4 linked regions of the Rhinolophus ferrumequinum genome follow. The protein of the gene in region 2 interacts with the protein of the main gene of each other region in a biochemical or structural test. Links are inferred from orthologs where the notes say so. Each region holds a gene or a part of one and is shown on either strand. Other genes may lie near its edges. The genes, in order: NLK, LEF1, TLE1 and MITF.

Evidence for each region.
Region 1: of the proteins of LEF1 (region 2) and NLK, one has a biochemical effect on the other in vitro, tested with the Homo sapiens proteins (4 studies listed by BioGRID). The link is inferred for Rhinolophus ferrumequinum from reciprocal best matches to the Homo sapiens genes LEF1 and NLK.
Region 3: the proteins of LEF1 (region 2) and TLE1 form a complex in vitro, tested with the Homo sapiens proteins (2 studies listed by BioGRID and IntAct, with this or other methods). The link is inferred for Rhinolophus ferrumequinum from reciprocal best matches to the Homo sapiens genes LEF1 and TLE1.
Region 4: the proteins of LEF1 (region 2) and MITF form a complex in vitro, tested with the Homo sapiens proteins (2 studies listed by BioGRID). The link is inferred for Rhinolophus ferrumequinum from reciprocal best matches to the Homo sapiens genes LEF1 and MITF.

The regions. Positions count from the first base shown.
Region 1 is NC_046304.1:19,218,143-19,225,578, forward strand, and holds the start of NLK (serine/threonine-protein kinase NLK), read right to left. Parts: upstream 3,036-7,436; 5' UTR 2,042-3,035; coding exon 1,584-2,041; intron 1-1,583. UniProt on the Homo sapiens protein: Serine/threonine-protein kinase that regulates a number of transcription factors with key roles in cell fate determination. Positive effector of the non-canonical Wnt signaling pathway, acting downstream of WNT5A, MAP3K7/TAK1 and HIPK2.
Region 2 is NC_046288.1:57,709,366-57,717,666, reverse strand, and holds the start of LEF1 (lymphoid enhancer-binding factor 1), read left to right. Parts: upstream 1-4,985; 5' UTR 4,986-5,008; coding exon 5,009-5,221; intron 5,222-5,961; exon of another isoform or gene 5,962-6,496; coding exon of another isoform or gene 6,497-6,505; intron 6,506-7,105; exon of another isoform or gene 7,106-7,120; coding exon of another isoform or gene 7,121-7,177; intron 7,178-7,796; coding exon 7,797-7,863; intron 7,864-8,301. Other genes in the region: uncharacterized protein LOC117022360, read right to left, coding at 3,858-4,144. UniProt on the Homo sapiens protein: Transcription factor that binds DNA in a sequence-specific manner. Participates in the Wnt signaling pathway. Activates transcription of target genes in the presence of CTNNB1 and EP300.
Region 3 is NC_046295.1:45,522,601-45,530,359, forward strand, and holds the start of TLE1 (transducin-like enhancer protein 1), read right to left. Parts: upstream 3,422-7,759; 5' UTR 2,073-3,421; coding exon 2,049-2,072; intron 1,271-2,048; coding exon 1,170-1,270; intron 1-1,169. UniProt on the Homo sapiens protein: Transcriptional corepressor that binds to a number of transcription factors. Inhibits NF-kappa-B-regulated gene expression. Inhibits the transcriptional activation mediated by FOXA2, and by CTNNB1 and TCF family members in Wnt signaling.
Region 4 is NC_046300.1:63,431,063-63,439,250, reverse strand, and holds the start of MITF (microphthalmia-associated transcription factor), read right to left. Parts: upstream 3,060-8,188; 5' UTR 2,888-3,059; coding exon 2,784-2,887; intron 1-2,783. UniProt on the Homo sapiens protein: Transcription factor that acts as a master regulator of melanocyte survival and differentiation as well as melanosome biogenesis.

The sequences.
Region 1 (7,436 bases), on a different chromosome or scaffold from region 2:
GCAAAGTACTAAAATGAAAGAGCATCCAGGTCGAAGAAAATCCACGCACATTCTCAGTAAATCAGTGAGAACTTTTAAAGCAAGGAACACAATTTTTCCTGTCCACTCTCACACCACCCTCATCGCCCTCCCCCAAGCTTTGAAATCCTCAAGGGTCAGGCAAGAGATGGAAGTTCACAGTGCAATCCCTGAGGAAAGGCTATGGAAGGAAGGAGAGGAAGGCAAGAACAGGCAGGTCCCTGAGCAGAGTGACTAAAGAGGCACCATTACCGGCTACACTCTTTCCCACCAACAATCCCCCTCTCCTTGGGGAAGGGAGCACTAAAGCAGCAACCTCCTGAAAGAGCTAGCTGGGCAAACACTGGACTCGACTAGTTTAAAAAAGAATCAGATCACTTAGTAGCCTACACTGTAAAATCTGAACTGCATATAAAGATGGTCAAATGTAATGCAAAAATGATACTCATCGCTTATAGCCTGAAAAACAGTGACGAAAGGAAACATTTACCAGGCTAGTTCCAAAGAGTTCCTTCTTTTTCCTGTGGTGATGGGGGCTTTTCTAGACATTAACAAGAATCTATTTTTGAACACACTCAAAACATCAATTCATCTAGCCACACCAGAATACTTAATCCTTGGGGGAAAAACTCAGTTCACTCTAGTTTTGATAGGAATAGAATCCTACAATGATAAATACATTTTATTATACACTACTAATCTTCCTACGAAGGGTAAAGAGACAACATGTTGCCTTTAAGAAGCTCTTAAACTTTTAAAAATATCATAGCATTAGTAAAGATAGAGGAATTTCATGTTTAAAAAGTATTAATATACTTCCTCCTACAGCAACCAAGGGATAACAGGAACTAAAGAGGCCCTAAATGACACTAAAACATTACACCAAATGTGGGCCACTGCATAGCTACAGTCTACTGACCTCATTTGTGGTACTCATGTGTGATGCTATATTTAATGCAGTCTTATCAAAAGGCTAAAGCTACATACTTCCCAATTGTAACTTTATAATTTAAAATAAACCACTCAAGAAATGACTTAACTGGTTCAACTATGACCCCAATCCTCTTTCTGAGGATAAAGATCACAAATTAAGGACTGAAAAGACAGAAAGGATAGCCAAGTAGTTGTGCAAAGCACATCCCCATGGCAAGATGAATGAAAGGAACTGAGCCTGGGTCAGCTGGGACATTTGCTGCCACTGGGCGACTGATTCAAACTAAATCATACAGGAGAGATGACCAAGGTCTTTGCAGGAATAAGCGTTTCACACATTCAACTACTGATCCTACATTTAGTGGCTTGCTTAGGTTCTAAACAAAAAGTTTGGTAGACAGCAAACTTATGTATGTGACTCATCAGAGGGTTCTCCACCAAAATTTGCCATGACTCAAAGCAGAAGGCTTCATAGCCAATGCACTGTCCCGCGCACGTGAGCGTGTCTTCCTACAGTTAAGGGGAGAAGCTTGCTCCACTTTGGTCAACGTGGAGAAAACCATGAGATGACTCACCCAATCACCACCACGAGAGGACACCATGAGAAGTTGTGTCTTTCTTCTGATACTCACCAGACAACACCAAAGGCTCCATATCCAATGGGTCTATCCGGCTCAACATCCAGCTGCTGTTGTGGATGATGCGAGTGCTGATGATGATGCGCCTTAACTGTAGCAGCTGCGGCAGCCTGTACCTGAGCTGGGGCTGCTGCAGCTGGTCCAGGAGCCTGACCCGGTGCCGGTGATGGGAAATATGGCTGTTGTTGCCCAGGGTTTAACATGGCTGCAGCTGCGGCCGCTGCTGCGGCTGCCGCAGCTGCCGAAGAAGTATGCTGCTGTACAGGGTGTACAGCAGCAGCCGACCCCGGATGAAGATGGTGTTGCGGGTGGTGGTGGTGGTGAAGGTGAGGAGGAGGGAGGTGTGGAAGGTGGTGGTGATGGTGGTGGTGGTGACCTGCTGCTGCCGCAGATGTGCCGCCATTGTAAGCCGCCATCATTTTTGCGTTGGCTCTTGCGCCACAAAGAGACATTCAAAAAAATGCTCTTTGATTGGAAAGCAAACTGGGTCAAGCTGTCATTTGGCCATTTAGAAATGAAGAAAAACCACTCACTCCACCTCCAAAAACATGGAGCGTAACTGGCCTTACGTCTTCATCAGTCAATCCAAGTAAGGAAGAGGATCTTGGTGTTGAGATTGGGGGTGAGCGTGTGTGGAAGGGTGTGGGTTACCAAAAAAAGAAAAGAAAACGAAAAAGAAAAAGAAAAAAGAAAAAGGAAAAAGGGACCCCTTCCCCCCAGGTTTCCTGCCACAAGTGGGTACTAAAACTCCATCCTTAATTTGGGGGCGGTTCCAATTTCGAATGTGGGAATAAAGGCCAAACCTCCGGACCCCCTGAACTCCACACACGAAAAGGATCAGGTAACACACCACCCTTGGAATCTTGTAAGAGGGTTGACTCATCTACCCCTTCCATTCCCACATCCTTTTTTAAACACTACCACCTCCTCAAAAATACAATGTAAAAAAATTCCAACCACCCCAAATTAAAGAGATGAGGGGAAATTTCCAGGGAAATCAGCTCCCCCCCCCTCGAACTCTCAGGCCTCCCTACATCTCCCCCTACTCCTAGTCAGGTTGACCTGATTGCACTGGGGGTACTAAACTTTCCTGAACAGAAAAGAGCCAGGGAAGGAGGCAGAAGGGACAGAGTGAGCAGAGGAGGCGGCAGGGCAGGGCAGAGAGGAGAAAGAGAACCGGGGCAAAGTGAAGGTAAGGAGGTGCAGAGGAATGAAAGAGAGGTGGGCAGCACTCGGACGCTCCGACAGAGGGAACCGCCCCGGGATGAGGTTGGGGTCCCGGGGCCAAAGAATAGCAGCCCCCGGGAGGCGGGCGGGGTGCAGTCGGAAGCGGGCTGACTCCTACCCCCGCCGCCGCCGGCTGCTTCTGCTTGAAGGGTTGGGGGGGAGAGCGGGTGGGTCCCCCCGCACGACGGCCCCCGCAGGGCTCAAGGCTGCTCCGTCTCCCCCCCTCCCCCCCACCCGGCTTCCGTCCCCGCGGCCGCTTTCTCCTCAGTCGCTGCGGCCGCTTTCTCCTCAGCCGCCGCCTCCTCAGCCGCCGGTACCGCCGCGGCCGGACTCACCTCCCCTAGCAAAGCCGGATAGAGCGGAGCCAGCGGCGGACACGCGCAACCAGCCGCCAAGGCCCCGCCCCCGCCTCACACTGACCGGCTGCCCTAGCCAATCCACGCCCACCTGTCCGCGTCCGCCTCCAATCCAGGGCCGGGAGCTTCAGACAGGCGCACTGTTCGGCCAGTGGCAACAAGGTGTAGGTCTCCTGGGGAAATCCCGCCCCCGATCCAGGATGGGCAGATAGAAAGACCAATCAAAAGGCAGAGTTTGGCCTGACCGACAAGGCTAAAAGCGAATTAAAAACCAAAGATCTCCGTGACATTTTCTTTCGCCTCTCTCCTCTTTTCTTTTTTCTTCTTTTATTTTTTTGGCAGGCGCAGGAAGCTGCGTGCTGATCCCGCCTGCAAGAGCTGGAAGAGAGGGTGGAATGAAAGAACCAATAATGAGCTGGGGACCACGAACAGAGCAACCAATCCTTGGCTTGAAAATGAAATGGGCTGGGACTAGGGCCAGATAGACACTTGATTTGACAAATGGAAGAAAAGATTGACCTCAGTCCCACCTTTCACATCTCCTATAGGTCAGGATTGTGGAGAATTCGCTGTCATATCAGCGACGACCTCTTCAGGGGGCGGGCCTAAGTCAAAGGGGTGTGGTCTAAAGAAAGGGGCGGGACCAAGGCGAAGAAGGCGGAGTCTAAATCTGCGCTAGTCCATTGATGGGAACCCTCTACCGTAGTATCCCTTTTAAAGGCGTAAGATGTGGAGAAACAGGGGGGAGCAAAGAGGGATGTCGAGCTACAGAAACTCAAGGTCCAAGGTTACTCAACACGACAGTCACAGGAGAAACTCAGTAGATTGACAGTTCATAGCCTATGGCTAGTCCTCCATGGCTAATCCTGATCTTGGCACAAAGAAGCATTATCTCCAGCATTCACAACTCCACCCTCAACGGACAGTAAGGCTATCGATACAAATACAAATTAAAACAACAAAAATAATAAACTTAACAACAAATGTCGTAATTTTCTCCTATACTTTCCAAGTCAATAATTTCTAGTCATTGAATCTTACTAAAATAACATCTTTCTTTCACTTTCACATAACCTCACTTATCTGAATTTTCTTTTTAAAATATGAAATAATAAGCTTACAGAACCTTATTTTAATAAAAGTGTGCACCCAGAACCCTGGAGATCATCTTTGATTCTTCTTTTGCCTGCTCACTCCTCCCCTTCTAATCAACTATCAAATTTTAAATACTTTTAAACACTTCTACACGCCCCTCCTCCCACCCCAGTCACCACAGTATTACCCAAATTTTCACCACTAGCACCTTTAAGGCATCTTGCTGCCTACAGGCTAACTCTCCTCTAATCCGTCCTCCATTGAGAGCATAGCAATCTTTTAAAACTACAAGTCTAACATGTCCCTACCCTTGATGAAAGTCAGTAAGTGTAAATGGCCCAGCACTATCTGGTTCCCACTTTCTTCATTCAGGTCTTCACATATGAGCGTAAGTTTCACTTTTTTGTCCTGGAAAGCTTTCCCCAACAGTGTTGCAGAGTATGTGTCTCTGTTATAAAGCTCCATGGCACTGCCTCCCTCATAGCACTGAGAACTCTATATTTTAATTGTTTACTGAATTTGACCAGGACAGAAAGCTTGCCTGTCCCACTCAATGTTGTATGCCTGTGTCCTAAGGCAGTGTCTAAAAGATGAAGAAGCAACAATATTTGCATGAGTTATTGAGTGCAGGAGAAGTGGGTACCAATCTAAGCTAGGCTGTTTACTAGTTCTGACTTAGGTAATTTAACTAACCTGAATCTCAGTTGCCTCAGCTGAGAATGAAGATGATAATATGTGCGTCAAGTTGAGATGTTAAATTAGGTGATATATTTTAAAGTTCTTGGCAAATGGTAAAAGTTAGTATATCTTCACTCTATCTCCCTAGTCCCACGCTCACATAGTATTTGGGATGCCTTTCCAATTTCCCGATGCATATCAGTCTCCTCCAAAGTATAGTTTCCTAGAAGCATCTTAGAAATGCAAAGTCTCAGGTCTACTGAATCAGAATGTCTTGGCAGTGGGGGCAGGAATCTGTTTATCAAGCCATCCAGGTGATTTTTACATGTGCCAAAGTTTGAGAAAGCACTGGCCAGAGGGAAGGGGCTGAGTCTTCTTAAACTTTTACCTTTCGGCACCTAGTATAGTATCTGGCTCCTAGAAAGTACTCAAGACGTGTGAAATAAATACATGCAATCGACCAGAAAATGTTTGCTCTTAAGAGCTATTTATTTCTGCCACAAACATTTATTGAACATGAACTGTATCTAGGCATGGTGCTAGGTTCAAAAGTGGAGGAGGGGGATACTTGAATTAAAGTCTCTGCCCTTCAGGGACTCGAAGCGTGGTACAAGAATTTCCAAACTGGTGTGTGTACACTCCAGGTGGTGCAAAGTGAACTAGGAATAGGCTCCAGGAGGAAATTAGTATAATAAATGCTGCTTATTTTTTATTTCATCTTTTTAAAATGTCCATTTTGTGAATGTTTTATAATGTACATAATATACAGAGTAGTGTACATGTATATAATCTTTAAATACATAAGTTGGGATTCATGACCCTCCAAAATTATCAAAAGATATTGAGAAATCACTGGTCTAGTGACCATTTAATGTTCATAGTTTAGATCAGTCCTGTCCGACAGAAATATAATGAGAGGCACTATGAAATTTTAAATGTTCAAGTACTCATTAAAAAATTAAAAGAAACAGAATTATTTTTAATATATTTTATTTAACCCAATATATCCAAAATATTTTCGTTTTTAACATGTAATTAATGTAAAAGTTGTATATATATTCTTTTTTCTCCCTTCTTCCACCTACCCCCACCCCACTCCAGTTCAAGATGTTGTTTCTCAGTCTAGTTGTGTAGGACACAGCTCCCTGGCCCATTCTGGTGTTATGAGCCTTGCGCTCCCCCCTGGCTGAGGCAGTCAGTCGCTGGTAGTCAGTCGGCTGCTCACAGCTCATGGCAGCTCATGCTGGCTGCCGGCCACTCACACTGGCCACCGGCTGCTCCTGACAGCACACAGTAGCCCGTGGCAGCACACAGCAGCCCAGCTCCAGGGAGTGCCACTGTTCACAATCTTCACTGTAGAGAACGCTGCTCACTGGCTCATGTGGGAATCGAAACTGCGACCTCGGCGTTAGGAGCATGGTGCTCCAACCACCTGAGCACCGGGCTGGCCCTGTATATATATTTTGATACTAGGCCTTCGAAATCCGAAATCTGATATATCTTTTGCGTCTACAGTACATCTCAGTTGAATTAAAACATCAATTTCCTCGGTCATGCTAGTCATATTTCATGTGCTCATTAGCTTCATGGGGCTAGTGGCTGCCATATTAGACAGCATAGATCTAGATCATGGGTGTGAATCTCTGCTCTGCCCCTTCCTAGCTCTGTGATCTTGGGCAAGTTGCTTAACTTGTCTTAGTCTGAATTTCCTTGTCCATAAAATAGAGAGGATCCCTAACTTCTCCAGTGGTGGTAATGATTCAAATAGACAGCTGTGGAAAGTACAGAGCTCATCAGGGCCTGCCTGGCTCATCAGAGATAGTAAGTGGGGTGGTTATTATTAGTATTACAATCCAAGGCAGCGTGTCCTGCAGTGTCAGATGAGAAATACACTTTGGGCACTGTTCATGTCCCCAGCATTCCATCCACGTGGGGCTGGCCTGACAGCCACCCAATTTCCCTGAAACACATCACCAGACAGCACAGTATCCGGCCCTTTCCATTCTGTTCCATTTTCAGGAGCTAAACATGATGAACAAGAAGTCGGAAGTTAGTCAGCAGGATAGCACTTAGAGCCTAAAAAAAGCAAAAAGGACATCAGAATGCATAAGCAGGAATAGAATGTGCAGGAAGTGGGAGGTGATCTTCCCTTTTTTCCAAGAACTGGCTCCCTCTTGAGTTGCCAGGGGAGACTTTGTAGAACCTGGGCCAGGCCAGGGGGATTAAAAGGAAACCAAGAGGGCAACTCACATTCAACAGCGTTGGTTGCTCAGTGACTGTCACATGACAAATCATCACTACATTCCATTTTGCAAATGAAGAAACAGACTCAGGAAGGCAAAGTAACTTGAACCTCACAAACCCAGGGAGTGGCCAGCTCTGCAGTACATAGTCTTACTACTGCACCATACAGCTGGAGGGAATGGCCAAAGAAATGATGCTATGGAGTCAGGGAAGAGTAGGCAGAAAATTCTTCCACTTTTAAGCCTGA
Region 2 (8,301 bases):
AGAGAGACGCGGACGCGAGTTCGGCCCACACCAGCACGAGCGCGGGAGAAGCCACGAGAGGGCTGAAGCGGCGGGCTGGGGCCGCGGGCTCTGTAGGCAGGCCCCCGCCAGGCAGCGCTGGCCCCGCGGAAGCCCCGTGTCCGCAGGCGGCCGGATTTGGGAACGACATTTTTACGGTCCCACGAGTTCTGTTACCCCGGCGGATGGGGGGTTGAGTTTGTTTGTCTTAGGAGGAGGCAAGAAGAGGCGGAAGAACCCCTGGGACACAAACTGCCATTTCCCTCGCCCTCCCCCTTCTCCCTTAACCCGAAGTCCGTTAAACTGAAGATGCGCACAGCTTTAGGCTCGGATGAAGCGGGGGTGGGAAATCGAGGATGCTGGAGTTCCGTCTCTGGAATCATATTCTTCGTTTATCTAGTCCTTGACCATCGCTTCTCTCTCTTCGAGCATCCTCTTCCGTAGGCCCCCGCCACCCTCTTCCTTTGGGATCCCACCAAAGTTGTAGCTGGGAGCGAGTCCAGGCCACACAAAGGGGAAGACCCGGAGCTTAGGCGGGGGGTTAGGACCGAGGGGGCGGAGAGGGCTCTGAAGGGCACCGCGCTTTTCTCTCCTCCCTGTAATTAAAGACTCACTTGAGTGTCTGTAACTGACTTGACTTGGCAGCAGAATCGCTGGGGGGGAGGGGTCTATGGTGTGGGTGGGGGTCATTCTCCCAGTTCCCTTGCCCACACCCGCGGGGGGCTGGGCCCGGTTTGCCCTAGGCTACCGGGCGCGTCTCCGCTCCCCCTTCCTCTGTTCCGGCGCAGGGTGGGCGCCTCGCCCCCACGCGCAGCCCTGCCGACGGCGCCTGGCGCAGCGTAGAAGGAAGTGTTGATATAAAACAAGTCACTGTTCGCTCCCCAAATTAACCCCAACCAACCAAAGCCACCAAGGGGAAAAACCAACAGCAATCCAGCCAGCCCCTAGCAATTGTTTCACGGTCGGAATTAAATCACATCAAAACGCCCCCTGAAACCCACATCCTGAAGGAGTGAACCTGCAACAGCCAACCTCCCGTCGTTCGCTCGAGTTCACACGAACAACCCGCCTCTACATCCGAAGGAAGGGGGCGGCGGGCGGCGGAGTTTCTCCCGCGCTGCACCCACCACATCCCGGACGGTGCACCTCGAGAGGCGGCTGCATATGTTAATAGCAGCCCCCACACAAATTAGAAAAGACCTCCCGGCGACAGAAAATGCCTTTGCCTGGAACTTCACCGAACCTATAGGGAGGAAGGAACGTCTTCCCAGGGTTACTTCGCCCCTCTGGTGCCCCCCCACCCCACCTCGAGAAACAGACTTCACGTGGAAATGTCAACCTCCTTCCCAGACAAAGCTTTAAAAAACTTGGGTGAATGTTTTCTAGTAAAGCCTTTAATTGCAGCCCATCAGAACACTTGCAACAATGCTAAGGACACTCAGCAAAACACCTCGCAGTACATGGGGAGGGAAAACAGCCACGCAAACAGAGCATGGCATTGGGTGCTTTCGTTGCAAACAATTTTTCCAAAGGAGAGGGTTACCGCCAAATACTAAATAAAGGCAGCCACTTACCCTCGGCCCTTCTAGTAAACAGCTCCCACTAGTTATTGCTCCAAAAATTCCCATCTTCTCGAGCGCCTCATCTCCAGGACACCTGGAGTTGAGCTCCAAATGACTCAGGGAGTCCAGATAATTAACACGAAGGAGAAGATGGGATTCGAGTGAGTTGCAACACTTAAACGGGGATGTAGGAGTCATCATTTAATCTCTCTTTGGCTTTCAGAAAATACCCTCTGGCCACGCTGTGTCCCCCCTCCCCCTCCTCGAGTTTGATGAAAAGGAACTTCTACTCTGGCTGCTTTGGTGAAACTGCATTTTCCAGTTCTTTTTCTGTCGGTCAAATTGGCACCTTGTGGAACGACTTTTGACTACTTTGTTTTCCAATATTTCATTTAGAACAGAGGGTATACATGTGTGACATAGTTACATGTTCGCGTCTCTAGAACATTACACTCACATTGGTGCATAACTTCAATGGAAGTTGCTGCATATGGCCACCAATCAAAAAATAACACTGGGTTTCTTTCCAACCTTTTCAGTATCGCCTTATAGACACACTGCAGCAGAATATTCTTTTTGTTTTTCTTCTCTAAGGATTGCATTGTTAGTTATTTAAAGTGGGTTTGATGTTTTACTCTTCCTGGCTCCCATCACCAGCCCCCAACCCCACCTCCTGTGAATTTACCTGTGACTACTGGCCATGTTCTATGTGATCGACTGAAAATGGTATAGTTTTTTAAATTGCTTCTTAAAACAATTCCCATCCCTAAGAAAAAGTTGTCAGGTGAAGTTTCAGGTGGTCCATTAGAGCATTGTTAACGTCTTTTCTTATACAATATCCAACAGCAAGCAATCACCCCCTCCCACACACACACACACCCCTTAGGAAAAGAAGAGGGATCTTTGCCTGACTGTTCCTACCGTATATAATAGAGCTAAAGTCTGATTCTGTAGTGTTTTCCTTATTTTCAATTTAAGGGATATGGAGACCTTTATTCCTGCCCCTTGTTTACTGTTCTGAGGTTTTACAAATGGCTACTTCATTGGGTATAATAATTTCGCCTGGATTTTTAACTGAGGGGGTTTGAGATCCAAGGAACAAAGTGTAATGTGTTTTCAACTTCAGCTTCGTTTATACTGTAACTTTCACAAAGCATCTCCTTAAAAGTCCTGTCCTTGTATAAAATGCATCGGTGGAGAGGTGGAGACGGTGGAGGCTGGGGAATTTTTGAGGTTGGATTCGGATTTGCATTTTCAAGGGTCCCTTTGAGCCCACGTCGGAGGTGCCAGAGGCTACCCTCTCTCTACTGGTTTCGCTCTTTTGGGTCCTTTTACCTTCTCTTCCTCCTCTTTGGGTTATTTTTTCATTCTCTATGAGATCCCCACGCATTGTAGCGTGTATCTCCGAAAATCCAGGAGAGACCTAGCATAACTCTCTCCTTACATCCCATGGCGAGGACATAATGGAATAGATCTTGTTTAAAAAGCGACAATTAAGATCTTCAGTTTTTTCTTCCTCGTCTTATTATTCTCGGTAAGCCTGGAGATTTTATTTTTGCTAGCATGTGCTCTCTTGTCCTTTGACATTGTATTTAGGAAAGCCACAACTCTATTCCTTGTCCTTCCTGCTTCCGTTCTCTTGTTAGTTGAGCAATGTCTGTTATATTTTCCCCTTTTCCTTCTCTGTCTCCGATTCCCGCCTCATCCTCTGTCAGAGCATCTATCAATGTGGTGTCCATCACAGCTGCGGCGGCTTCGCTTTCATCTTCCCCTTGCCTGAGTGAGGGAGGGGAGAGAGGGAGGCGGAAAGGAGGTGGGGGAAGAGACTGGCAGAGGAAGGGGGCGGAGGGGGTGCAAGAAGAGGTACTTAGATGAAGTTAAACCATTCGGGCAGTTTCTTGTCAATTTCACGCGGGCAAAGCGTGCCTCTCCGTGGGTTACAAGGAGCGCCCGGTCCTTCCTTGTCAAATTGTGGGATCCTTCCTTCCAGGAGCGCGCTCGCGCGCGCGCACGTACACACACACACACACACACACACACACACTCACACACACACCCCAAAACTAGGACTCGTCCTACAGGCTCTGGGAAAGAAAAAAAAGTCCTCAATCACCACCTCCAACTCGCGGTCCCCCTCCTCCCCCCACCCCAGCGGGCAGCCAAGGAGAGCTGGAGGCGGGGGAGGGGAGGGGGAGGAGAAGCGACGCAAGTGGGTAGCTTTTCAGCGCCGGCGAGGCGCGGGAGGAGGAGAAGCGGTGGGGAGGCGCAGCCGCTCACCTGCGGGGTAGGGCGCGGAGGAGGGATCGGGGCTGCGCGCTCTCGGGCCGAGGAGCCGTCGGGACGCGCCCGGAGCCCCGCACGCAGCCAAGCTCCGGGCGTCCCCCTCCCCTCGGCCGGGCGAACCCGAGGGGTGCAGCTCTTTGCTTTGACAGACCAGCCCGGCGGAGGCTTGGAGAGCGTCGAGAGAGCGAGCGACCGAGCCAGGCAGAAATTCGAGCCGGGAACAAAGAGGGGTCGGGCTGTGTGTGTGTGTGTGTCTCGGCTCCAGCTCCTGGCAGAAGCATTTAGGTCCGAAGCCCCTGCTGTGACACCCCGAGACCCCACGGTGCCCTCCACTGCTGACTCCTAGCGCTCGCCGGCAAAAACTTTATTCTTGGCAAACTTCTCTTTCTTTTCCCCTCCTCCTCCGCCCCCACCTTGTCTTCCTCCTCCTCCTCTAGCAGATTAAACGCGTCTGGAGAAGGAAAACCGAAGCGAAAGGGAAGGAAATAAGAAGCTCTATAACGGACATATTCCAACACGGGTCGCTCTTTATTTTTTCTCCCCTCCAGGAAGTGGACATTTTGTTCCCTTTTGATTCTCCTGAACCTTCTCTGCTGGGGTAAAAGGAGACTTTTTGCCCAGCTCTCCTCTATTCTCGGAAAACTTCCAACTCGGCATCCGGGGGAGCTAGGGTGGAGAGGTTTACGTAGAGACGCGCCGACGGACTCTCCTCTGCACTTTGGAGAGTCGTGCCTCCTCCAGAACAGGCGTCCTCTGCGCGCAGACCCCGGAGGAGCTGGGGGCGTGGGGTGGCCACCGGAGCAGCCAACCCTAGAGCACCCCACATTGTGCCGCGCAGACGCCCGCAGAGGCGCCTGCTGCGGCGGCCCTCGCAGCCGGGTGCCCATCAGCCTCGAAGGCGGGCGCAGGCGAAGGTCTCCGCGGAGCGGGAAGGCGCGGGCGGCCGCCGGGGCTCAGGCGCCGCCGCAGCTGCTCGGGCTGCGGGCCGCCGGCCCTGAGCTAGCCGGCCCAACTTCCGCCCACTCTCCTCCCTTACGCATCCTTCCAATTCTCCTTTCCTCACCCCCCCTTTCGTTGACCCGCTCTCTTTCCTGCTGTCGCCTTGGGTGCTCCCCCAGCAGAGCGGAGATTACAGAGTGGTCGGGATGCCCCAACTCTCCGGGGCAGGCGGCGGCGGCGGGGGGGACCCGGAACTCTGCGCCACGGACGAGATGATCCCCTTCAAGGACGAGGGCGATCCCCAGAAGGAGAAGATTTTCGCTGAGATCAGTCATCCCGAAGAGGAAGGGGACTTAGCCGACATCAAGTCCTCCCTGGTTAACGAGTCCGAAATCATCCCGGCCAGCAATGGACACGAGGTGAGCGGGCCGTTGCCCGAGCACCAAGAGGCGTGGCGGGTCCCGGGAAAGAGCAGAGAACGAGGGAGGGAGGGACGGCGCCGGGCAGCCCCGGCGATGATCCCCCGGAGGTCCCTGGTTTGCTGGGGGGCGGATGAGCCCCTGGTCCGCAGTCTTCCTTTGTGTGTCTGTGTGTGTGCGCGCGTGTCGGGTGGGAGGTGGAGGGGTGTGCAGGGAAACTTATTCCAAGTGGATCCGTTTGGGGTTCGGTGGCTAAACCGTTGGTTTGCGGGCAGGACAAGCTGACCTTAACATGTTTGGCCTTCGTAGTTTTCAGTGGCGTTGAGGGTGCAATGCATTAAAGCAGGGATGTCTAAACTGAGAAGTTCTTCCGTAGGACGGAAAACAAAGTGCACCCGCTATCTCTCGGTAGCTGTCTGCAAAAGTGCGTTAAACCGCCAAAGGCTTAGGTAGAGACGAGCAGAGCCACAGGCGGAGAGGAAGGGGAGGCGGGCGTGGGCCGGGGACAGGCGGGGCCGGTCCAACTGCCGCTGAGCGGGGCTCGCGCGGAGCCGGCCGGCGGAGGGGCCTTGCGCCTGGGCGGGTGGGGGGCGTGCGAGGCTCGGTCCCTTCGGCCGCTGTAGTCCCAGCGCGAGAGCCGTGGGCGCGCGGAGCCGATCCAACCCAGGGGGCCCTCGCAAGTACCGCCCGCAACACTAATTTTCTCCTACACAAGTCACTTTTTTTTTTAAGCGCTTGTATTTGAGGTTAGATTGGCCCCGGATCAGGACTTAAATCTATGCAGAAGACAGGCGAGTCAGTGGAGATGCGGCGGAAGCCAGGGCACCCACTCAGGGGAGGGTGGAAAGAGCTTTATCAGATCTCCTGGCCCGCGGCAGGCGATAGCGCTGGTAACCCGAGTAGAGTAAATAGAGACACGTGGGTGCCAGCGAGAGAAAGCCGCGAGCGGGACCGCGCGGAAGGGCTATTTCAGGCCGCGCGAGAGCTTCAGAAGGGGTTGGGGGTGGGCGGATGGACCCTGATACCCGACACTCCACTGGCCACTCTTGTTCAACAGCTGGGAAACGCTTTGGAGGAAATCCGGTAGAAAAGTTCTGACACTCAAATGATTTCACCAACGCTTTTTCCCTCCAAAGAAACTTCGAGGGTATACCCTTTGTCCTTAAATGGAATCCTTCTACCCCCAAAAAGAAACCCTGTGGTTTTGGGGGCGGGGGCATTTGGGGTTTTAAACAAGGCGTTTAAGAACACCTCAGAGTTACCTTCTTTATCCCAATGGCAGGGGTGAGTACGCATTTTGGAAGGCTTGGGGGCCTGGGTTCTAAGGAAAACATATAAGGGTGTTCTTTATTCTCTGATTCTTTCATCCCAACATGCCAATTTGAGGGGGACGTGGGGGGGGGTCTAGGGTGCACCCGACCCCACTTAAAAGGTTTGTGACTATATGTGTATTGGGGGGAGGAGGGCATTGGGGGACACGTGTCCAAAGAACCAAATAACATCCAAACATCTCAGAGGCCAAACTCTCCTATTTGTAGAGAAGCCTCTTTCTATCCATTTTGCTGTCCTTTCTATTCAATAACTTAATTTGCCACCATTTCACATTTTCTGTGTGTTTCTGCTCTGGAAAGAAGAGCACCGCATTTGAAGCCCAGAATCCAGATATTAGGGCTCTGTTAATCTTTGCCATGGTGGTAAGTGGGCATGGGGCAGCCCCAAGGAAGATAGTGAAGGGGTAACACCACTGATTAGCACGTGGTTGAGCCTGGGTGGATGGTGGTTACCAGAACTGATATTAGCTGGGCTACCTTTTAGATGTCTAAACCCGACTCTCAAATTTTCCTTTCTTTAACCACAGAGTAGTTCACTTTTCTCTTGTAAGCTTGCACTCAGCCAGCCATGGTAGGTTGTAAGGAGTGGAGCTCCTGCTGGGACTGGCTTGGGACAGTGGCTTCTGTGAGTAGTTGGCTTGTTTTTATTTACAATGCCATTTTCAGTTGAACAATGATATTTCAGCCTGCTTTTAATTAGATCTGATTCAAATAAACAGATTGAAGAAGCTATCAAAACGATCAACTCCATTAACTCAAACTGCTATCGTATTAGGCATCCCAGTAGCCTTGATGTGTTTTAGCAAACAGCAGTCAGTACAGCATGTGGGTCTTTCCCAAATTTACTATATTATTATTATTTTCTTATTATTATTTATACTTTTTCTAGTCCTGAGTAGATAATAATGAGTCAAAAATACTGGGGGGTGCCAAAAAAAAAAGGTATACGCATGACTTGTGTTCATCTTTTGTTATCGGTATATATTGAGTATTACAATTTTAATACAGTTTTTTCCTTTCTTAAAATGTGTATACATTTTTTGACACCCTCTGGACATGTTAAAAAGAAAAAGATTTCCCAGGACTCAACCCTAGCCTACACCTAGTAGATTAATAAAACGGGTAGACTAAGTTGCATCTAATGCTCCTGCTTTGAGTTACCAGTGGATACACACTTCTATCAGTATTTTCACAAACTCTAAGGTGATTTTCTTTCTTTTGGGGATGGGCATTCATGATGTTAGGTGGCCAGACAAGCACAAACCTCTCAGGAGTCCTACCACGACAAGGGCAGAGAACACCCTGATGACGGTAAGACTAATTCTGTTTCTTCCAACTATTGTTTAACATGTGCAATTTGTGAATATAAGTGTTTTGCTGTTTTGAGTCCAAGAAACTGGGATGAGATGTGATAAGACTGTGCCCACTATTTTAACAAGATGGAAAAGAAAACCCAGGAAACTTCATGCTTATGTCTAATATATATTTATGTAATTTAAAAACTGTCTTTGAATGAGTTAGGAGCCTTTTGATTTCAGTTGGCTTCCAGATTTTTTGTAGAAGAGCAAATGTCATTATCATGAGTTTTCCTCTTTTCCTCATTTTACCTGAAGTTCTAATTGGCTTTGTCTTGAGCATTTTTTCTTGCGTTGTTGACAATTGGTGTAAAGAGTGACAGTTTACACCAGTTTATTTTACAACATGAATAGTGTCAAATGGATTTTCGTTTGTGAAATTGCTGTTTCCAGT
Region 3 (7,759 bases), on a different chromosome or scaffold from region 2:
TGATTCCTCCTGGTGGTCATCTGTTCACGCCTATTTCCCTGAATCAAAGTGTGCTTCTCCGGACTCCACCAAAATCTGGCCTTTGCACAATCCTCAGTCTCAGGCAAAAGCTGCACTACCTTTGCCAATTCAAAGTCTCTAGGTTTGAAACACTGTACCTGTAAAGTTACCTCTACAATTGTTGGTCCCTTTTAAAACCTTTGATTTCCAAATCCCTGCCAAAATATGTCAAGCAGCTACTGCAGTGAAGTGGGCTGAAGTCCTCCCTGCTTGGTAAACAGTGTGTGGGTAGGGATGCCTCAAGCTCTAGAGATTATTATCTTCAAGCAGACAAAAGGTCAATAATCAGAAAGCCTCTGACAAAATAAGAAAATTCACACCCCAGCATCTGTGTTTTTTCTCAAGCAAGACAAAAATAAAAACTGTCGTTACAGCTATTTCTTAGCTCTAATCAGCTAAGACTTCATAGGAACGAGAAACTAACATTTCTGGAAAGTCCACTATGGATGTGGTGCTTTACAAATAGTTTTTATTTACAAATCTTTTGAAGTAGGTATCGTTAGATGAAGAGACTAAAGCTGAGAGGGATACAAATGTGACTCCAATCCCTTGTTCTACCCAAATCTACCCAGAAATGACGCCAAAGCAGGTTAGCTTTCCCTGACACACCCACCCCCCTCGTGATCACCAATGATGGGCACAGCTTAAAAGCATCTAGCGTTCCATAATGGACTTTGCCTCAGCCCAATTCTCTACCATAGCAAACAGCGATTTCAACACTGGCTTTGCCTCCCTGAACCGACACTCCAGGGCTGGGGCATCGACTGAACCAAGGTTTTAGCTCAGCCTGTTTGTTGCAAAACAAATAAATGAAGTGCAAATACTGACAGTTCTCATTTAACTCCTAAACACACGAAAATAGACTCCCTGGAACAGCAGCAAACCGGCAGAAGGGAAACAATGGGAGGAGGAGGAGACAAGAGAAGAGGCGGCCCGGGAAGAGCCAGGAAAGGGGGTAACGTGAATGACAGGTTTTAACTGCGACTCCACACGCCACCGCCTGGACACAAATGCTAAGTACAGCCGCCGCCGCCGCCACCCAGGGGCTGGGCGACGTGGGGCACGGGACTGCCCGGGCAACCAGTCGCCCCCCGCGGGCCGACACGCACCTGTGATACTGCGCCTGCAGGAACTGGAATTCCTCTTTAATGCGGTCCAGAGACTCCGGAATAGTGAATTTGAAGGGCTGGCCTGCAGCCTGGTGCGGCGTCTGGGGGACGACCAGCGAGGGGGACCGTGGGACGGAGATGCGGGCGGGTGGATAAAGCAGTTAGAGGACAGAGAGGTGGGTGGAACACAAACAAAAAATAAAGTTAGAAATGGCGGATAACGGAGTCCCGAACGCGAGTTTGCGCTTCACTTTGGGGAGAGGGAAAGTGGACACTCCGCCGACCCCCGGCTTCTAGAGGCTCTAAGCCCCCTCCAGCCTTTCCCGGGTCACCAGACTGGAGGAAAAGGGGCTCCCCGGCGGCCAGGGTGGACCAGGCCAGACTGTCGTCATCGCCGCGCCCTCCCCCACGGGGGCGATAAAGACCCCGGGGACTAGAAAAGAAAAACAAATCCCTAACGCTCCCCGTTCCCAGAGTCGCCAAGGCCAACTTAAGCGCGCCGGAACGGGGGCCGCATTGACATGCAAATAGGCGAGACCAGAAACAAAGCGGGGGGGCGCCCTCCCCTCCCCGGGGGAGGAGGAGGATGTGGTTGCGGGAGCGAAACCCCGGCCTCTCCCGGTGCCCCCGTCACCCTGTCTAGACGTCAAGCAGGAGGTGACCCAGAAGAAACGGGGTGGGGGGAATTGGGAGTTTCAGCCCACTACCCACCTCAAGAGAGCAGGGCCCGGGACCTCCCAATCTTGCAGACCCGGAGACGAGGGGGTCCGTCAGAATGTAGCAGCCACCCGCCTCCCCACAGCACGGAGAGTGCCTCCCGCCCCCCGCCCCCCGCTCCCCCCACCACCACCCCCGTCTCCCCGGCCAGCCGCGCCTCACCGGGTGCCGGCTCTGCGGGAACATCGCTCTGGCTGCCGCCGCGGCTCTGTTCCCCGGCAACTCAATTCTCCGCTCAATTTCCAACTTTAATCCCGCCGAGAAAAATTAAGCCAGTAAGCCCGGCAGAAACGCGACGCGCAGGGGGCCCGCTGGCCACGCACGCAGGCGCGCTCGGCGGGGCGCACGGGCCACTCCGCGCCCGGCTGCTCCTGCTCCCGCCAGTGTGGGCTCCCGCGTTCAGGGCCACATCGTGGGGCACCCCGGGCCCAGCTGCTCGAAGAACCTCCGCGACACCGCGCTGTTCTCCAACCCGCAGGCCTTAGCCGCCTGGGCGAGGAGGTGGGGGAACGGTGACTCCGGCGCGCTCCTGTAGGCGATCAGTGTGCGCGGCAACCGTCCGGGCAAACAAATCCAGACGGGCTGTCTTCCTTTGCTCTTCTCCCGGTCTGCCTCCTCTCCGGGTTTTCCCCGCGGCGCCGGCAGCGGGCGAGGTGCAGGTGGCTGCCGGCTAACCCCACACAAACCAACCTAGTGACGTTTCGGAGCCCACCTTCGCGGGTCCAGGCAGCACCTTTGCCGGGCACTCGCGGGCCCCTAGAAAGCGGCGGGGAGCGAGGTCCCAGCCGCGGTGTAGGCTCCGCGCCCGGCGCCCCGCAGACTCAACCCTGGCTGAGAAGCGCGGAATGACAGCGAGGCTGGGAAAGTGCGGAGGGCGCGCCGGGAGGCTGCCCCGCACACCCCGTACGACCGGCACTCGGTGTTCTCCGCGGTTGCACAAACCCTCCAGGCCCGACGGGGCTACTCCACGAAGGGCAGTCCCGCGGTCGCCCACAGCTCCTTGAGGCCAGGGCGCATCCGGGAGCCGCGCCCGGTGAGCACTCGCCCCACACAACCCGTCCGGCCGCTTCGGACCCTTCCTGGGTCCTCTTTCTTTCCTTCCCTTCGTATGCCTCTACGTAAAAGGCGCTCCAGCCCGCTGCAAAGTTCTCTCACGACCCGGGGTACGACATCCACGAGATGGTGGCAAGAAGAACAGGAGTGCGCGTCGCCGCTCGGCCTCCCTTCCCGGCCGGCAAACTCCGCGGGAGAGTCTGGAGTACTCGGGGCAGCCGCAGCCCACCGGGATTAAGTCGCCGCGGGCCGGCGAAGGTCCGGGTTGGTGGCGCGGGTCCCGCCCGGCCGTGAAAAGGTGGGGGTGGTGCAGTCGGCTGCCTCGGGGACGCGGGGCACAGAGAACCCGCCGACGCTGCTGCGGCTCCTGCAGTCGCCGTTCCTACCACTGCCGCCGCCGCCCGCGCCTCTCGCGCCGGTTACATTAACACGCGGTTTCACACTCCGGAGCTAACCAGCGCGGGCCCCGCCCAGCCCTGGGCGGGCGGGGAACGAGAGCACCCAGCCGGCGGGCGACGTGGGCCCGGACGGCTGGGAGGGGGAGCCGGAGTCCAGCGTCAGCCAATCGCATGCGCGATGCCCAACGTGGGGTGCTGACGCAACCCTCCCCGCAGCCTATGGCGGCGCAGCACTGGACGGGCCGCCTCCCTCCTATTCCCCCCCCTCCCACTCCACTTGCTTCCATCTCTGCTGTTTCCACCGGCTCCCCTCCGGTCCCTCCCACCCCTCCTCAGCCAGCCGCGTCCTCCCGGGCTCGGTGAGGAACTGTTCCTGGAGGAGCCGCGGGACGCTGAAGCCAGCCAATGGGAAGCTGCGAGACGCGGAGATTGGCACTGTGGATGGGAAGGTCGGTGGGAAGGAGAGCGGCGGGGCCCGGCTGTCAATCAAAGTAACGTGGGGCCTGGGAGGGAGCGCGCGGGAACGCGAGAGCGAGAGGGACCTGCAAGTGTGCAGCCACGGAAACTGGGGGCTCGAGTTTGCAAAATTCCTGCCACTGTTCACTTTTTCACTGTTCCCTTAAATGAAAATTCTGAGATTTCAGTGAAAGTAACTCAGCGACTAACCGCGTAGTTTCTTATGGGAGAGGGGGCTTTTTGGTAGTTGGAGCCAAATGCATGTTTTGGTGCTATCCCCTTGTTTGATGCTACTCTTTTCAAAGTGAGGTCACATTCAAAAATTTCTCTGGTTTGTTTTTCTTTGGGCTGCCTTTACGCGGGTGCACGGGGAGTGGACTGTGCACTTGATGGAAAATAAGTGGGCAACGCATTTAGCTGGCGTATGTATACCAGCCGCATAAGACGAGGCTTTTAATGCCCACGCCCCCTTTGCACCCAAGGTGATAGGATTTGGTTTTTATTGGAGGATTTGAAACCACTTTGCGAAAAGGTCGGCCTGCTCTCGTTTAGCGGGAAGTATACCCGAGGTGCTGCCAGTGTAAGGCACGCGCGTCCCAGTCGCAGATGGGATGCTTTGCCCCGGGGCTCGAAATCTAGGGTCCTTGTCTTAAAAGTTCCGACTTCTCCGTGTTGGGGAGTAAGGGACTGCTGAGAGTTTTAGGAGCCTCCCATTAACATGACCGCGAGTCTGTTTCCAATTCCTGGAAACAAAGGGAGACAATAGGATAAACCAGCATTGAGACCTAAAAAACATGTCCTGCCCACCCCACACCCATAGTTTGGGTGGTATCCAGGGCTGAGCCCTGTAAGGAACTAAATAAGAAGCGCTGGGTAAATAAGATGGCTAAAATTATGAGATGGATTTGGAACTTGACTTAAATAAAAGGGATTTTGAGATTTTCAATAAATGGGGCATACCGTATAAATATCTGGTTTTTGTCTGTTTCTCTAAATATACTGCGCAGCAGAAAACCTTCAATATTGCCGCATTTATACTTTTGTTTAAAGAACAGTTCAGTGGAGCTATTTCCACATGATTGGTGAGTGACTAATGCTATTTTGGACAAATGGTGGTGAATTCTTCCATGAGTAAGAGACATCTTTGACAAGCATTCATGTTACCTTGGAATGTACTTACCAAGTTTTTAGTACTAATAACCCCACGGTCCCATTATTTTACTTTCAAGAGACTTACGGAAAACAATTTAAGCAGAAATACATTTTATTTTACAGAGATCTTTTCCTTGAAATATTAAAAGAATCATTTTGGATAATACATGTCACTGTTGCAGTTGTTTTTAAATATGTATGATATGGTTTTGTCTATAACTGCATCAATCCCAAACATCAATTATAAATGAAAAATTAAAGGAGTTATTTTAGCCAGCTGTACAAGTCCATTGTAAATTCTTAATCAAGTTGGGCATTGTGGCTTTGCAGTGTTCTTACCAAATTAAGTAGAGTTAGGAAGGGGGTCATATTCATTTTGCTAAAATGGAGAATGGAAAGGAAGAAGTACCGCCCCTCTTTTCTTGGTTAAATTTGGTGATGACCAGAGCAGGCTTGCTCCACACACAGGACTTCTTAACATCATATGATCCCTGGGCAACTAAGCTTTGTCCTTTGGCAGCCAGTCTGCCTTGAAATCTTCATCTAGTGTTTGGGCTACATGTGCTAATCTGTGGTCAGTTCACCCCATAATCAGCTGCAGGACTGTGTAGAAAGTGTTTGGATGTCACAAATATGCCAGTGCGTGCTGGGACAACTGGGGCCACTGAGACTTCTCTCTCACTTACCCGTTTTGCTTTGATTTACTGGCACAGGCTGGTAATTAAATTTAAACAGAGAAAATTAAAGTGGTATATTTTGAGATAGGACGAAAATGTTGCTACTTCTTCTCTACTATCACCTTTCCATCCCCTTCAAAACATTGTCTTCAAATCTTCTCTAATATAGCTGTTTATGGCAAACATGTTTGCTGTTACTCACTATATTTCCCAGTTTGCCATGGGTAAAATTGGAAACTCTCTTTTAACTAGTGCTTCCTTACCAGTAGAGTTTGAAACACCAGGCCTCTGATTTCCTTATAATGTTATAACTGAAGAATAGAAAGGGTGATGATTTCAAAATTGGAAGGCCCTTAATTGTGTGCATAAAGATGGTGGGTTTTCAATGACTTGTTTCTAGGGCAGCGCATCCTCCTTGAGAGAGGGAGAAGGCTGGGTCTCTTTTCAAGGTCATATTTTCTCTGTGATTGTCATGCTGTAATAATTATACTACAAAACTCATCAAACTGCATTACAAATTATGGTGTTTAAACAATCAAGTAGCTTTAATCTTATGTTTTAAATAAATAATATATGTGTAGATTGCCTACAGCCTGTTTAAAAGAAAATGGTCCTACTCATAACATCTATAATTTTGGTCTTCTATTTAAAGTCTATTAAACATAATCTTCTTTAACATATTCATATGTTATTTTTACATGAAATAGTATTAAGTATTCCACTTCTGTAGGAAATCGTCTCTGAAAAAAAGTTCCTTTTTTATCCTCTGCAAAAGAAACAAAAAGATTGTTAGATTGTTTGTTTTATCACTGATGCATATATGGGTATATTTTCATCCATTTGTTGATGATTATCAAATTTGCAGCTCACCAATAGCATAAGCCAACTACAAAAACTAGATGTTACATATAGTATAAGTACTAGATACAGTAGGAAAATCTGCTGGTCATAGAAATTATGCATCTTCTTTTAAATCTATTACTTTTTTATTTGAAATAATATGTCAATTTTTAAAAGATCAGTTTTGTAATTTTCTCTTCCTTTTAACTGTGAATTATTGGGTATACATTTCCTCATTAGACTTATTTTTTTAAATTGGGAGTTTCTTAAACCTAAGACTGTAGAGTCCAGAAGAAATTTTCCTAACATTGCATTATAACTCCCCCCCACACACACCCTTTTACCAAAGAAAAGGACAGAGTGGGCATGGGGGATGGAGGGGAGAAAGCAGAGAAGAAGAAAAAAATCAGTAGCAGATCCATGCAGCAGTAAAACCTCAAATAAAATCACATCCAAAGAATCTCTTGTGGTTTCACACAATATGGTAAAATTAGAGATTGCAGGAAACCAACTAAATTAAACTGGGAGCATTTGAAGAGAAACGAGCAGACTTTATGAAAATGACACATTGACTGACCAGTATGCTTTTTTATCAACATTTTTTTTGTTGTTGTTAAGACGCAGATCAAAGGGACCTGCATATGTTTTCATTTTGTTCTAACTAGAAAATTACATCCAGATGTTTAATAGGCATTTGGTTGGTTTTTCAGCATTGATTAGATATGTTGGTTCTGTTTGCTTACAAGTGTAGCCGGATCATTAGCTAATGCAAAGAAATGTTTGCTGTGAGTTGCTAATTAGGGCTTTTGGAAACCCTCCATGTTCAAGAACAATTTGTACAGTGGCCAGAAGAACTTGTGGGACTTGGGGAAGTTGTTTTCCCTTTTCTGTGAGGGTGGGGAGAAGCAGACAACCCCGATCTCTAATCTCTCTTAGCCTACAGGGATTGCGAAGCTATCCCTGAGGATTGGAGTGCAAATAAATTAGGAAGAGACCACACAGACACTCCCAAACACAGCGATAAATGTGCTTTCTGGAACTGCCACCATGCTGTCTTTGAGGATGGGGGAGCGAACATCTAAAACACTGAACATTAACATGTAGAAGCTGCTTGGTGCTAATGTTATCAAATACACAGCCTTTTTAAGTATACTTTAGAGACAGATGGGAAAGCCCTTTATGACAAACGAGTGTACTTGAATTCATTACTGTAGTAGTTATAATTAAAAATGTCTCCTTTGCAATTTTAGTACTTTTACAAGGTACAAGAGACCAAGCTTGGGAAGGGGAAGGCTGG
Region 4 (8,188 bases), on a different chromosome or scaffold from region 2:
GCAAGAGATCCACTCAGAGCTGACAGGGACCTTGGTTGCCTTCTGCCATTTCAAGGATTTCAAGTTTTACTGAAACTAGGAGCCACTGCAGGTTTTTGAGTAGAGAATGACGTGACGCGATAGGTTTTAACACAAGGTTTCTCAACCTCGGTGGTGACAATTTGCGGCCAGATAATTCTTCCTTGTAGGGGCCATCCTGCGCACTGTAGGATGTTTAACAGTATCTCAGGCCTCTACTTCTCAGAGGCCAGTAGCGAGCCCCTTCTGTTGTGACAACCAAAAATGTCTCCAGACATTGCCAAATGAACCCTGGGAGGCAAAATCAGCCCCAGGTTGAGAACCGGTTTTAACAGGAACCTTGTGGCTGTATGTTGAAAACCCACTAAAGCGCGTAAGGGTAGAAGACAGGAGACCAGTTAAGAGACAACTGCAATGACCCAGGCGAGGGTGATGGTGGCCTGGACCAAAGCGGTCGCAGAGGAGTGAGTTGGTGAGAAGTGGGCAGATTCGACATATTTCCAACCCCAAGAGACAATCCTGAAAATACAACCGATAGACGAAACAGCTACAGCGTCTTAAACTTCCAATTTCAACTTTTTCCAACAAAGATGTATAAGAAGGGAGGTGCCCCATCAAAGACTCAAGACAAAAAGCCATAGAAGGTTCTGAACAATGTGTAGCCCTTTTAAAGACACACAACACATGTCGATGACAATACATTAGGCAACTATGGAAAACACTATGGAGAAATTCTGTCAACCCCACATATTTATTCCCAGATTTTGTTTAACTGCTTTATTTCAAAGAGCATGTGTCTGCTCCAGTTTTCCAACCTTTTCAATTTAGCCTTCCTCTTCATCCTGGTTTTGTCCCACACCTGTTTCTAGCTTCAGCGTGTGTGAAGCCATTTCTTCCCAGGTACCACACTTTTCCTTACACGTGCCAGCTAGCTACAGAGGACGTTCACCCTTGCAAGTAATTTTTTGCCAACTCTGAAAAAGAACAGGCCCAAATCCTTCAACATGAGTTTCATGGCACTCATGAGGGTTCTTCCAGATGGTATTTTCCTCACTTTCAAAACTCATTTAATGTTATGTATCAGCTACCATCAAAAATGTCCCCAACAGTCCAGTGAATTCATTCCTTTCAGGACCACACACACACACACACACACACACACACACACTCCCTCATTCTGGCCATGTAAGCATTTGCTTATAGAAGCAAAAGCAGAGGTTGTTCAGTAAAACACTGGTCCCTTCAGCTGAGTGCAGATAAAGCCCCAGTGAGCATAACCAACAATACCCTTTGCACAATATTACTCAAAACCCTCAACCCCCAACACACACAATCTATGCTCACACACAAAACAGCCATTATGAAGAGAAACCACCAACTAAAGGCGGGTTTTATTCGTCTAACTGCAGAGGAGGTTTCCTTCCAATCTCCCTTAGCATCTGCAGAGGCTGCTTCAGCAACGGGTCAGTCAGTGAGTGTGCTGTTCAGATTTTCTTCCTCAACTTGGGCTCGGAGTTTTGACACAGCCCCAAAGGACACAGCCCTAAAAGACAGAGCTCTGCTTTCTACTAGAGCCAAGTACCAGCCTCCTCACCCCAGAAGCAAAGATTACACCCCCGCCCTCCTGATTTGGTTCCCCTTCTCCACTCACCCTGATTTCTGGCCCTTCATCCCCTCTGTCCGCCGGGCCCATTAACCCAAGCCCTACCCACAGTGAGGGGCAGGCAGAGAGGTTTGAGGTGGGTGCAGAACCACTTCTGAACCTTCCAGTTAAATAGCCTTATCTCACAACCGAGAGGGATGGAAATAAACCCTCTCTACTCTCACAGCTTGAAATGGCCATCTCCCTCTTAGTAAACACTGGAAATGTTCGGAGTGGCCCGAGGACCGAGAAAGGAAGACACCCAACCCATTCCGCCAGAGAAGTGGTAATGGAGGTAGAACAGGGAGTGGGCAGCGGAGGTGGCAGGGCGCCAGACCAGCGGGTGTCTTCACTCCTCTCCTAAAAAGTTTACGTCCCTTGCTAATTAAATCGCTGCCGTGGAAGGGACACTGCCAATGCCTTCCAGTCCCAAAGCTTTCTCCCCTCCAGCATACGCTTGGATTTGAATGGGACTCTACTGCCCACTGAGTTGAACCTGGACGCGGAGACACGCCCACCCACGGCCCCCGGCCCCGCCCCACTCCCTGGCCGCCGTCAGGAAGGTGAGAGGCAGAGCTCAGCGAAACCTCACCTGGAGGCGGCCAGGGGCGGGTTTTCCCAGAGGGGCCAGATTCCTAAGAGGCGACAACAAACGAGCTAATTGCTTCCCTCCAACGTCGCGCCTCGCTCTACCCCAAGCTCTCCCTCTCGGATCAGCCCGCTGGGATCTTCAGTAGAAGGATTCACTAGAAACTCTTTTCCCCCTTCGCAGCCGGCCATCCGCCGGGCCCCGCGCCTCCTCCCCCACCTCCACGCCGGGTCGCTCCCCAGCCCCCACCCGGTCTCAGCAGCTGGCATCCCCAGCCGAGGGTCCCCACGCCTGAGCCGGCCACCCGGACTGCCCGCTGAGCCCCCGAAGTGCGCTTGGGCAGAGGCCCCCAGAGGTGCACCGGCCTGACGGGCGCAGACCCCAACTGCGGGGGGCAGTTCGCCCTCTGCCCCGGGGCAAGGGCACGAGGTCCTTGTCCCAGAGCCCGGGCGATTGGCTCTTCTCGCCCCAGGGCGGGAGGCGCGGGGCACCCCCAGCCTCCAGCCGCGCCTTCCTCCAGCTGTCACCACTCACCTGCTCTTCAGGGGTTGACTTTTGAGTTCGTAATAGGTTTTGGGCTCTTCGTGAAACTCCTCCCCGACTTCGAAATCCGGCACGATCCCCGATTCTGACTGCATGGCTCCCGCTTCCCGTCCTTCCACTGCTCGAAAGGGAGAACTGAGCCCGCGAGCGGACAGAAGGTGGCGGGGCCTGGGTCCTGCGAGCGTGCGCCCCCACACAGTGCCCAGCTCAGCCCGCTGGCCCGCGCGCGGCCGCCCGCCCGGCGCGGGGAGTTTACACTCGCACCGGGCGGGAGGGGCCGGCGGCCGGGCGCTGCCTGGGATCTGTAGTTCGGCCCGGACGGGGCATTCCCGGCTCGCTGGGGGAGCCCTTCCCGCGAAAACTACAACTCCCAGAAGGCCAGGCGGGGACAGAGGCAGCGTGGTGGACACCGCTAGTGCAACTCCTGTTTGGATTCATTGTCAATGTCAGCAGCTCCTCTCCCTTCTATCTCCCCACTTGCCTCAAGGGTACAGACTTGGCTATTTAATAGTAATAAGAACGGACTCAGCCTCTCTCTCCTACCGTCACCCCTCCTCCCAGCTCAGACGTTTGAGAGGAGACGCCGAGTCCTTATTATTTAAAAAAAAAAAAAAGTGGATAGTTTTGGCTTTAGAAAGTTTTAGCCTTTATGCCTGCCTTAAAATAAAAGGACTTCCTATCAGCCCGCTTGCTTCCCAGCACTGCTGCGACACATCATCGTGTCCTCTGATTGGAACAGAGTGGAGGAACACTTAGTAATTGAAATATTATTGTGGAAAGTGTTCTTGGGCGTTCCTTTTCTATAATTCAGTCTGAGCTTTACAATACCATTCATCCAGCTGAATGTCTCTTTCCCTTTATCCAATTAGCCACTTCTAATCTAAAGCAGCTCTTGAAAGGCTCCGTTAATTTAAAAAGGCACCAAGTAACAAAACAACGTAGTCACCGTCTGTTTTTAATTTCTCAGTTGGCTGGGAGTTCAAACGAGATTGTCCTAACATTTCAGGGGTGAAGCTGTGGAGCAAAAAACTGTACAAGTGTCAGCCCCCAGCCTGAGCTTCCCGGCACTCTGTAAGCGCCGGGCTCTGTAAGCGCTTGTTTTTGCTGTCAGTCCACCCTCTGATTAGTTCCAGTAGGATGGACTCCTTCTTTTAAACGTGTCTTGAGGCATCAGGGAGGCGGTAGTGAGTTAGAGGGTGGCGTTGAAAGTGTTAAGATCCAGAGTTGAAATCCTGAGTCCTTCTCTAAAGTGCTGTGCAATTTGGGGCATGTCACTTGATTCTTAGAAGCCTCAATTTCTTCATCTATAAAAGAAGTGATTGACGAGCTTGTTTTCGAAGATGTTGCATGGTCAAATGCAAGAGAAAGTGATTTGTGATCTATAAACATTGCTGCTCAGTGGTCATCCTTTTATTTATTAGATCTTGAAGATACTCCTTTCAGACTAACATTTCATCTGTGAGTTTGTCCTTCAGACTTCATGAACGAAGTGATCATCCTAGGAGAAAACTAAGGAGGCTACTGGGTAGGCGTCTGCCAGGAGCTGGCCATTTTGCCTCAATATGAAACATTGTAATTTCACATAGAAAAGATCTTAAGTAGGATGGGTTGATTTTAGAGTTAAGGATCTCCACAAAGAGATTTGGGGAAATGTGCAGGAGGTACACAACTGCCAAAATCCCACAATAAAATTTACTCCCCAAAATACTACCTTTAGGTCCTTCACTATTCCATTAAAATATGGCAAAATATCTGGACAGTCCTGAGGAAAGTGGGCTTTTTGTGCTCATGAATGTGGGATCCCAGATCCCTTGATAGATGGAAAGCTAGAAATTAGATGTTAAAAGTTTAAAGAAGTGTTATTCTCTGCCAGAAATAAGAGAAAGGTAAAACACAAAGAGAACTTTCGACCTAGACTTCTACTCTCATCTTGATTCTCAGCTTTTGGTTCTTAAAACGTGGTTGATTTTCATAATGAGTTGGGGATATTACAGGAAATTTAAAGGGTGTGGACCAGAGATGCTATACATTTTGTAAAGTAACAAACTTTCTTGTCCAGAAATCAATGGCACCTGTTGAGAAACACTGGAGTCTTCTTAATCTTTTGGTTCACCAGAAGCTTTTTAATCAAAGGAAAAGCTATGGACCTTCTCCCCAGAAAATATAAATGTAAATAAGATTCTATTTATAATTTTGGTCTGTTCATCCTTTGAAGGCCTTCATCTTAGAAACGCAGTTTATAACCTCTTTAGAACCATAGTGAAACAATCTAGTAGGTCATTCATTATATCAGTGACCCGCTAGACCGAAGGGACCAAACTTAAAGGGAAAAAACTGTCAAAAAAGCTAAGATCCCTGAACTTACCTCCAACCAAGGGCACCTTCCAGAGAGATCCCTAAGATGCAGAGCTCTGAGCTGAGGTTGCTCTGAAGTACGCACAGATACCTGCTATTTTTTCTCCCTACACCTTTTCTTCTGGTCTCACTCTACTCTTGGTTCAGAAAAACTTCTCTTCCATTACATATGGCCAGGATATTGATTGCAGTGCCATCTGCTACCCAATGGAAGTAGGTATATGACCTAATCCTGACCAATCAGTGGGCCCCGTTTTCTTAGCCACAGTGATTTCTTTTGAGACAGACAGCATCCTAACATGACTAGAAGTCCTCCTTTGAACTTTTCTGCTAGGGCAACTGGAGAAGACCGTCTGATTTGGGAAGCATGGGGCTGGAGGGAAGAAAACTTAGAGCTAATTACTTATGGCATCCTAGGAAGCTGATAAAAAAAAAAAAGTGAGAGAATGAGATCAGATCAACAATCAGAGAAGCAGATATCCTTAGATTTCCCAAATTTATAAACCAAATTTTTTTTCTTTTTGCTGCAACTATTAATATTTTGGTTTATGCTTTTGTCACTTGCAACCACAAGAGCATTGAGTAATCATCCTAAAGACTTTTCATTCCTTTAGGTGGAACATTTTCTGTGGACTGCCATAACACTAATCCACATAATAACGAGTTGTCCCTTGTAATTTCTCTTCGTTAATGAAGTAAACAGTAGGAGTAGTTACCTCTTCTTTAAAAAGGTGATTTAAAGTTCACAGCCCCATATATTTGAAACAAGGACTGTGCCTATTGAAAGTACAAAAGTAATGGCTAGAGATTGTAATTACTGTCACTAATAATCTGACCTATATTTTTCTAATACTTTACTTTTTGCAAATGCTTGTCATATGTACCTCTTATTTGAGCTCATAGAAATCCAGCAAGAATAGAGAGCAAGGGTTTCCATTCTAATATGTATAGAACATGCACTAGTTATGGATATGGCATTGAGTTAGGTTGCCCAAATACATGAATGAATTTTACTTTCTTCCTGCTCTCAAGAGACTCACAGTGCAGGAGTTAAGTCAAAGCTTGTACCACAATGAGAAACCACACATTAAGTGCTAAGAAGCAGATCATTTGTGTAGGATTAGTACTGTCTTATCCATTTAGCTCAACAACTATTTATGAAACATCTAGTCGGTGCCAGCCACATTACGTGCTAGATATGGGGAAATAGCAGGGATGAGCCATGTATGGGCCCTGTACTCAGGGCGTAGTCCCAGCCCTTTCAGAAATAGGAATGAAAATGATTTAATGAATGAATAGAGTGATAGACAGGTAGGTGCAACAAGTATCTGAGAAAGCAGCAACACCTGAGGGCAGGGATGGAGATGAAGTGAAGAATTCTCAGAGGAGATGTGACTAACCTAGATCTAAAAAAGAAAAAAAAAAAAACAAGGAAAAAATCTAGGGTATAAAACATAAAAATTGAATCTAATCAAGCTGCTAGATCTAACCACCAATTTACAGGGAAAAAATGAGAGAAGAACATGTTAATAATACCACAAGGATGCAATCAGACAAACCCAGAAATTGAGAAATTCTACAAGACATTGAGAAATTCTTCAAAAAATAAGTAGCATGAAATAAAGGGGAAAGAGGAACTGTTATAGATTTTTAAAGATTTAAGAGACATATTAGACATGTAAATTATATCACTATTAAGAAAATGAACTGGGAAAAAGGGATATCACTCAAATACATTATGTAGACTTTGTCTAGAGCTTAATTTGAACAAACCAATTGTCAAAATTCATTTTGGAGAAAACTGGGAGTGTGTGAACATGAACTGGAATTGGATGATATTAAAGAATTATTGTTTATTTTATTAAGTATGATACTGATATTCTGCTCATCTTGTTTTTTTAAAGCTCTTATCTGTTGTTAGAGTAAAATGTTGAAACTGGGTAATGTGTCATGGAAGTTTACTTCTCTCTCTATTTTTGTGTATATTTGAAAATTTCCATGATAAAATAATTAAACTTAAAAAAGTGAGAAAATAAACTGTCATAATGTTTTTTAAAATGGGGTATACTTTATGATAAAATTAGATAAAAAGGCATGTGATTCAAAAAGAGAAAATGGACATGAGAAGTTATGGACGCAGGATTGCATGTGGTGTGTTTGAGGAAAGAGGCAACAGAAACTGACCATAGTTGATTTAAGCAGAAAGGAATTCATTGAAAGTGTATTGAGTAGCTCACAAAGCCTCAGGAACAGCAGCAGAATCTGGCACAGACACTGTGCAACTAGGAACCACTCCAAAATCTATGCCATGGACCTGGGCTAGTGAAGGCCCCCACCAGGGCCACCACTGTGTCACTAAACATCACAAATTACCCCCTTAACCTGACAGGACATGGGATGTTGTCGAAATGCTGGGAACTGGATGTAGCCACAACCACCTGCCACCAGAATGGATCAGACAGAGTTCCAATTACTTCACCTATTTATTCCAATTACTTCCAATTACTTCACCTATTTATCATTCAGTCCGAGTTCAAGGCTGGACTTGATTGGCAGATCTAGGTTTTGTGTCCAAATTCTAGCTACCCAACCATCCCTACTTTAGAGACTTAATATTTTTCAAATATAAAATGAACCTATTTTGCAGTCTCCCTGACAGCAGTAAATTCAGTTATGTGTACAAAAACGCATAAAGCTTCCCCACCCCACCTCCTTTTCAAACATAATCTAATTCAACTTCTGTTTCTCTTATTTGAAGTGTATTTTAATAAGCACAGGATTGAATGGTAATGAAACTATTTTGTTACTTTAAAAAGATGAGACAAGCCCAGAGGGAGAACAATGTCAATAACAGAAAACTGTTAAGGGAAGGAGGTTGTCAGCAGGCCAGCTTTCTGCACAGTCCTCCCAACGCACGTTTCCTGCATGTGCCAAGGTGGTGCCCAGACATGGCCCGCCCCAAGAAACCAATCTAAGCCACACAAAGTTCAGGCATGGCATATGTCAAGTGGGAAAGTAGTTAATTTTCAAGGCATACATCT